Ovis aries: one gene and its partner. The protein of the gene in region 2 purifies or fractionates together with the protein of the main gene of each other region. This does not show direct contact. Links are inferred from orthologs where the notes say so. Each region holds a gene or a part of one and is shown on either strand. Other genes may lie near its edges.

Region 1 (3,741 bases), on a different chromosome or scaffold from region 2:
CCAACTGTCTTTCCCTTTTTTTTTTTTTTTGAGTGGGGGGATGTTGGTTTTTCTCCTATCTGGCATACAGGGGGGAATGTTTTCTCCAGCTGGGTTTCTTTCCTCTGGCACTGCCGTATCTGAGAATCATATTATGTGTGAGATTGCGTCCCCCGCCCTCCCCATCTTTCAAATAAAACACATGTCGTGGTAGCCAGAGGCAGACCCCAACTGGCAGTAAGTTGTTCGCCCCCCTCCCTCCACTCAGCTATTTTGTTACTTGTAGATCATGGTCTAATTATTTAGCGTTAAAGGGACACGCATTCTGTGGGGTGTGTAATCGTATTTATAGTACGTTTTATTAGTTTGCATTCCATCGTGGTAGTGTGGTGATATCATATGTAAGCGGGGCGCGTAACATCCGATTGCTCCTGAGAGGCTTTTCCTGCAGCCCCTGCAGTGTCACTTGTCACTGTCGGGTTCGATGGGAAGGGGGGCTCCTCTGTGTGCTTCTGCCGTGGGTGCCAGTTGCTCCGCATCGGTGAGACAGCGCCCGGGTGCCCAGCTCGGTTTGGAAAGAACTGTCCGGTGAGCGCGCTGCGCTGAGATTTATAGCCGCACAGCTCGGACTGTGTTTGCTGCCTTAGTCAGCTGTGAGAGCTCCCCGCTGGGGCCACTCCTGTCTGATGGAAAAGCAGCAGCTGGGAAGGTGCTGTTTCAGGCTCTTGCTGTTTAAAAAAAAATGAGAGCGAGAAGGGGAAGAAAACTCCACTAAGTCCAGAAGCTGGCATTGGAGAGGGAGACCGCGGTCATGTGGTTCCGGCCACCCTACCCTCTGTCACAGTGCGGATGAGAGCTTTCTGCTCTTATCCAATCATGCCTGGAATGCCGCTTGCCACTTGGGTTATTTCTGCTATCTGCCGCCCTTGGTGCCGCAGTGCTCACGCTTTGGCAGATGGAACGCTTTTCCTTGGAGTTCGTGTCTTTGGGGTTTGACTGCTGGCAGCGCCGGGCCTGTTGTTGCTGCTCGCCCTGTCCCTCCCTGGCCCTCTGGGCACCATGGCCCATCGGCTTCGGTTTCATTTTGGCTCCTGCCGCAGCAACACAGCCCCCGAGTCGGAGATCCTAGACCAGGAGGGAGAAGACGACTTTTTCATGGCATTCCACACGCTCCCGCGGCGGGGCGGCGCGGTTGCGCTGGCCCCGAGCGGAGCGCAGGACGCGGGCCTGCGGGGAGGCGTGGGCGCGCTCAAGCGCAGCACGTCCATGTTCATTCCGCAGCTGCTGGGCCCCGTGGACGCGCGGCCCACGCGGAGCTCGTCCGTGCAGATCTCGCTGCAGCGCAAGGCGGCTGACGGCGCCCCCGACGACGGCGACGCGGGCACGGAGCCGCTGGGGGAGCCCCCCGAGGCCAAGAGCCTCGACGACGGCAGCGGCGATGGCTCCCCTCCCGCGGGGCCCGGAGCTCCGGGCCCGCAGCTCAATGGCACGTGCGGCCGCCGCCGAGCGCCGGGCCCTGACGGCCGCGAGGAGGCCGAGCCGCCAGCCGTGCGCATCCAACACCGCGCGTCCAGCGCCGATGTGCGCCCGGTGAAGCTGACGCCCTCGGGGGCTGAGGGCCAGGCTGGCCCCGCGGCGGCAGCACCCGAGCCCAGGCGCTGGTCCCTGCAGCACGTTCCAGACGCTTCTGGAAGCTCCGGGAAGCGCTGTTTTGTCTTCCAGCTGCAGCAGCCGCCAGCCGGTGGCTGCGGGCCCGCACCGGGCGGCGACTTCAACTTTGGCTTCACCGGCACCAAGGGGGACAGGTTGGTGAGGTATCCCCGAATCCGGCTGGAGAGGAGCAGCTCGTACCCCACGCAGCCCCGGGCCGAGCGCGGGAGTCCTCCGGAGGAGCACGGCCACCCAGACCCGGAGGCGCCGCCGCGGGGCCGCAGGGTGGCTCCCGATGCCCACAGGACCGATGCGGCGGCCGAGAGGTCGCCACAAGGCCAGGGCTGCACGTTTAAGATCAGGCAGGATCAAAACGCGGGGCAGCAGCACTTCAGAATCCTCGTGACTCGGGGGCCCGAGGAAGCCCCCCAGAGTCCCGAGGAGGACGCCGCCGCGGCCGGCCCGGCTTCCACGGGAGCTGGCGCCCCGGTAAGTGAGCCTGTGATGCCGTGTGTCCGCAGGAGGAAGGGGCCGATTCTAGCCCAGCAGGCGTATTCTGCAGCAGAATTAAAATAAACAACATCCTCCTCCCTTCTGGGACTTTCCCTGCTTCGGGCCAGAGTAACTGAGTGTGTTTGGCCGGTTCTGGGTCCACGATTTGTGGTCCCGCCTTTGGTAGAAGTCCATGAAACTAGTTAGCCGATTTTAGAAAATATCGTAGCCTTAGGTCTTCAAAGTCACATAACTCTGTTTTGAAAAATCTGGACAACCCTTTCCCCCTCGTTTCCCTCCCTTCTCAAAAAAAGAATTTTTAAGATGTCGTTACTTTTTGAGTTAATGTGCCGTGCCCCAGCATGTTGACATTGGAAATGTGTTAAAAAACTGCTTGCAGATACAGGCTGTGACAACGCTGGCATTTAAAAAATAATCCGTTCTAATCCAGGTGAGAGAATCGCAGGTTAAACGTGTCTGGTTTCTTCATAATTAAGCATATGTCAGGTTGGACACATTCTTCCTAATGACCTTTTAGCTGTACAGGGCTGGCCCTGGTTGTATAATGTATTGTCTTTGTGGGTTGGTTGTTTTTTTTTTTTTTTCTTTTGGTCCCACTAAGTAAGAGTGAACAGAGGTAACCACAGTTGTGGGCTGGGAGGAAATGTGTTTTGAAGCAGATTGGCCTGTAGGGCCAAGGCCAGGGGAAACTGATGGGGGACTTGTTAATGGTCAGGTTGCACACCCCTGCAATTTAACACTGCCCACTTGAGTGTCTAAGCTGTGCTGCTGTATATAGAATAGTTAAGTGCCCAGCCTCCAGCTGTGGAAACAGAAGCCCAGCAACAGATTTTGGCCTTCATTGCTCCTGTGTTCTTGCTCTCTCCCTTTCAGTGAAATGGAGTACAGACAGACAGCTGCTAACTCCACCAGGCAAATGATGACTGCAGCTTTCACAGTTTGTCATGGGATGCGAAGTTTCATCAGTTAGCTTTCTTTCACTACTAATCACTAGCCACGTGCTTCATTTTTTTTTCAGAGGACAGGCTCCTTGTATTCTGAATTGGGGTTGTTTTCCTTGAATTTCCTCTGATGGCTGGATTTCAGGATACGGCAGTGAAATGTCTAGGAGACTCTGTGTTTGGTTTCAGTTGTGAATTGCGACTTTTCAAAGTGGATGACTGAGTTTGGCTGTGGAACCGTATCATCTTTTATTATTTTGTGTCGAGAAATACTTTTTGCCATATGAGTAAGTTTTATCACTGATCCATCGTTGTCTTTCACCATTTTGAAGGCATATAATCAGGTGCTAAATGTCAGTATATTTTTCTTGTTAATATAACTTTATAACTGTTAATGTAACTGTTTCTTCTTCTTTTCCCTTTTATACACCCTTTTCTTTTATTATCTCTAGTCTTTTCATTAGGAAATGCTATATTTTTGGTCTGAACCAATACCGTTTTTATACAGTGGTACAGATTTCAACAAAATTCTGATAATAGCCTCTAACCTTCAGCCCAAGAAAGTACCATCACAACAGGTATAGACTTCTTTGGGCAGCATATTTTTGTGCTGAATTTGGACCACCTACCACATGAATATTGACAACATGCGTATCCT
Region 2 (3,741 bases):
GGCGGATTCTTTACCACTGAGCCAGCTGGGAAGTTCATCAAATATTCTCACCTGGAAACTCGCATTACTCTGCCTCACCTACCGCTTCCTCGTTTTTCCCTCAAATCTTCACAGTAGTAACAATCCTCCATAGAACTGCCTTTCTGATGGGAGAGTCCATGAAATAAAGCAGCCCAGGGTGCTCAGTCAAGACCTGGGAAGTGTCTCCCAGGTTGCGGGTCCCTGATGTGGTGGGCAGTTATTCCTCTGCCCGGGGCAACGTCCTAACAGAGGCCAGTTTTTTTCTGCTTGACACCCTTTCTCCCTGATGCCAGTCAACGTGCAGGGACTGAAATACCAGTGCTGGGTAGGGGACTCGAGTCCTTCTGATCCACCTGGACACCTTCGCCATTCAGGGGAGACAGGGCACCACAGCAGCCGTGTCCAGAGGGCGAGGAGGACGAGAAAGCGGTTCTCCAAGGCCTCTCCCCTGACCTGCCCAAGCAGCCCTGGGCAGCGGCGCCTGCAGGAACTCCCACGTCCTCCGGAGCACACGGCGCCCCAGCGGGCCAGATGCTGACCCACGAGGGCCCGAACGCTCCCGTTTGGCCTGCAGAGTTCACTGGCCCTGTGGGCACCGACCCGACCGCGTTCTCTCCCTGCAGCGTGCGCTGGGGCGCCCAGGGGGGCCCAGATAGTTCACGGGGCCTCGCCGCCATCCTCCCGGTGAGCCCTTCCTCCCCGTTACCCTCTGTGGAGGGACTCAGAGCCAGTGAAGAGGGTGTCCACGCCCCACTCCGTCCTCCTGCCCAAGCAGTTCGCGGTGCCGGCACCCTGCGGACCTCGCGCCGCCCCTGCTGGCTTATGTAGGAGCTTCGCGCAGGCCGCGCAGGTGGGCTTGGCGTTTGCGAGCACGTGGGCGCAGGCGGGCGGAGAAGCGAGGAGCGCGGGATGGAGCGGGCCGAGCAGGTGGGGAGGGCGGGCCGAGCAGGTGAACGCTGCAGGGGCGGGCCGAGCAGGTGGGCGCAGACGGGGCGGGGCCGGCCGGGCGCGCCGGGGCGCCGGGCGCGCACAGGTTGGTGCGGGGCGGGGCGTCCGGCCTGGGGCGGGGCTCGCCCACCCCCGGCCCGGCCCCCGGCGCCGGCCCCGCCCCCCACGCCCGGCCCGGCGGACAGCGGCCCCGGCGGGGCTGGCGGCAGCGGTCTCCCGCACGCGCCCGGGCGCCCGCCGCTGCCGCAGCTCCTGCCGCCCACCGCGGGCCCTGCCTGGCCATGGCCGCGGCCACCTCCCCTCCCAGGGCGGAGAGGAAGCGCTGGGGCGGCGGCCGCTTGCCGGGAGCCCGGCGGGGCAGCGCGGGCCTGGCCAAGAAGTGCCCCTTCTCGCTGGAGCTGGCCGAGGGCAGCCCCGCAGGCAGCGCGCTCTACGCGCCCATCGCCCCGCCTGGCGCCCCGGGCCCCGCGCCCCCCGCCGCCGCCGCCGACCTCGGCCCGCGGCCGCCCGTGAGCCTGGACCCGCGCGTCTCCATCTACAGCGCGCGCCGCCCGCTGCTCGCCCGCACTCACGTCCAGGGCCGCGTGTACAACTTCCTCGAGCGCCCCACCGGCTGGAAGTGCTTCGTCTACCACTTCGCAGTGTGAGTGTCGCCGGCGGCCGGCGCGGGGAAGGGCTTTCCGCGGGGCTGGGGAGGGCGCGCGGGCAGCGAAGTCCCCGTGCCACCTGCTGCCGGAGGGACCTTGCCGGAGCGGCGGGTCTAAGCCGGGAGGGAAGGGCAGGGTTAACGGGAAAGATCGCGGCAGCGGGGAGCCTGTCAGGTGAAGCTCAGGGCCCTGTGGGTCTGTCCCTGCGCCGGTGCGGAGCTCCCCGCTGGTGCTGCCCGGGCATGTGTGTGGGTGGCAGAGCCAGCTGGGAGCAATGCCCGTGCTCGGGGCTGGTCTGCTGGGCCCCGCAGGGCTGGCCCAGGTGTTAATCCTTGCGAGAGAGCACGTTTGCAGGGGAGAGAACTCTGGGGGGCTGAGAAACAAGAGAAGACAGGGTCCCGGTGCCCCCCAACAGGGGTGGTCTCCCCGGTCAGCAGAGCAGGGCTTTGGCAGACGGTGGCCGGCCTTGTGCTTTGGCTGAGGCGTCAGCATGGCTGAGGGGGGTGCCCATGGCCCCACGTGACCCTGACCCGGCTCCTAGAAATCTGGGTTGAGGCAGAGGGGCCTGGAGGGGTCAGGGCTGGGGCGAGAGGAGAGAGAGGGGCCCTGACTCTGCTGGTTGGTGGTGGATCAGAGGAAGCCGTGCGCCAGGCCAGAGCCGGGTCCTATTGGCGGCACCTGGCCCTACTCCTGCCTGGCCCAGCCTGGTTGGTGGCCTCTCCGTGTGGTGCCGGCCTCAGAGCCTGGGCTTGGCATCTCTGGGCTGCTCTGGGGGCTGCCCAGAGGGACCTCCCCTGATCTCCCATCGGTCGAGGCGGGTGCTTGGCCCTCCCACCTTGGCTGGCCTGGGGCTGGGAGACCCCTGGCTGCAGGGTGCCCATGGCTGTCCCTGGAACCCCAGGGAGCAGAGGGGCGGCTGTGAAGCAGGGTCTCGGTGGGCGCGGCGAGGTGGGGGGCACAGCCTGCATCCCTCACCTTCTCCCCTCCGAGCTCAGGGGGTACTAGGGGTGCGGGCAGGGTGGCCCTTCTGGAGCAGCAGGGCCAAGCCTGGAGACAGTGTCCTCAGAGGCACAGAGGGGCCACGGTCCTCCAGCCTTTGCCCCAGCCCCCTTTCCCGCCTCCCACGGGGGCAGAGGGGGCCTAGCCATGGCCATGGCCATCTGCGGAGAGGGTGGCCTTGCCCTTGGCTGCAGCGGCAGAGGCTTGCCTTGGGGTTTGGGGGTGTGTGTGTGCACCGGCACTGGGGGCCCGCGCCCCGCCTGATGCTGGCTATGTGAGCACCCGCCAACAGCAGGCTCATGGGAGCTGCCGTGCACTGCCGTCAGCTGCTGGGCCCCAAGATCCCGAGGTGCCCACCGTGTGGGAGCCCACAGCCGGTCCCGAAGCAGACCCTGCCCAGCCGCCTCTCTGGCCGGGACCCTGCGTGCCAGCTCCGGGCACAGATGGGAGGACCAGGCAGAGCACTGCTTAGGGGTCAGCAGTGCCCCCACATCCCCCGAGGGCTGCTGAGTGAGGGGCCTGCAGACACGCCACTGGTTCACATCCCGGGGTCACAGGCCCGGGGGCGCTCGCCTCGCCCCAGCTCCCTGGCGGCCGCGGTGCCTTGTGGAGGAAGAGGGCCCGCCGCACCCCAGAGGAAGTCGCTGCTTGCACTTGTGTTTTCTTCCTGATTCCGATTGTTTAGCTCTCGGAAGTTTGCTCAGCTCGGTCTGCCTTGCCCAGCCTCCCCAGGAGCTGTAGGGCCGGGGTGGCTTCTGCGGACCGTGGTGGCCTCTGGAGACAGTGGCCCAGCGGCTTCCCTGTGTGGGGAAGAGGAGCTGGGGAGGCGAGGCCCTGTGGGTGGGCTGGTGACCTTGGGCCAGTCTTCCCGCTCGCGTCCCTGTCCATAAGAGGCGGGTGCAGCCCCCCACTCAGGGTGTACAGCCCCCCACGCAGGATGTGCAGCCCCACGCAGGGTGTGCAGCCCCCCACGCAGGGTGTGCAGCCCCCCATGCAGGGTGGGGCTGCAGGTGGACTCTGGCTGGGCAGGGGATGTGGCTTCCCTGGGGCCTGGGAAGGTGTCCTCTCGTCTCTAGGAGATAGGCAAAAGCCACGGGATACTCTGAATTGGCCAGTCTCTCGAAGG

Evidence for each region.
Region 1: the proteins of KCNQ1 (region 2) and NEDD4L purify together in Homo sapiens (affinity purification with western blotting, with the first as the bait; 3 studies listed by BioGRID). This does not show direct contact. The link is inferred for Ovis aries from reciprocal best matches to the Homo sapiens genes KCNQ1 and NEDD4L.

What each region holds. Positions count from the first base shown.
Region 1 is NC_056076.1:57,724,727-57,728,467, forward strand, and holds the start of NEDD4L (E3 ubiquitin-protein ligase NEDD4-like), read left to right. Parts: upstream 1-913; 5' UTR 914-1,038; coding exon 1,039-2,118; intron 2,119-3,741. UniProt on the Homo sapiens protein: E3 ubiquitin-protein ligase that mediates the polyubiquitination of lysine and cysteine residues on target proteins and is thereby implicated in the regulation of various signaling pathways including autophagy, innate immunity or DNA repair.
Region 2 is NC_056074.1:45,517,390-45,521,130, reverse strand, and holds the start of KCNQ1 (potassium voltage-gated channel subfamily KQT member 1), read left to right. Parts: upstream 1-1,148; 5' UTR 1,149-1,250; coding exon 1,251-1,612; intron 1,613-3,741. UniProt on the Homo sapiens protein: Pore-forming subunit of the voltage-gated potassium (Kv) channel involved in the regulation of cardiomyocyte excitability and important in normal development and functions of myocardium, inner ear, stomach and colon.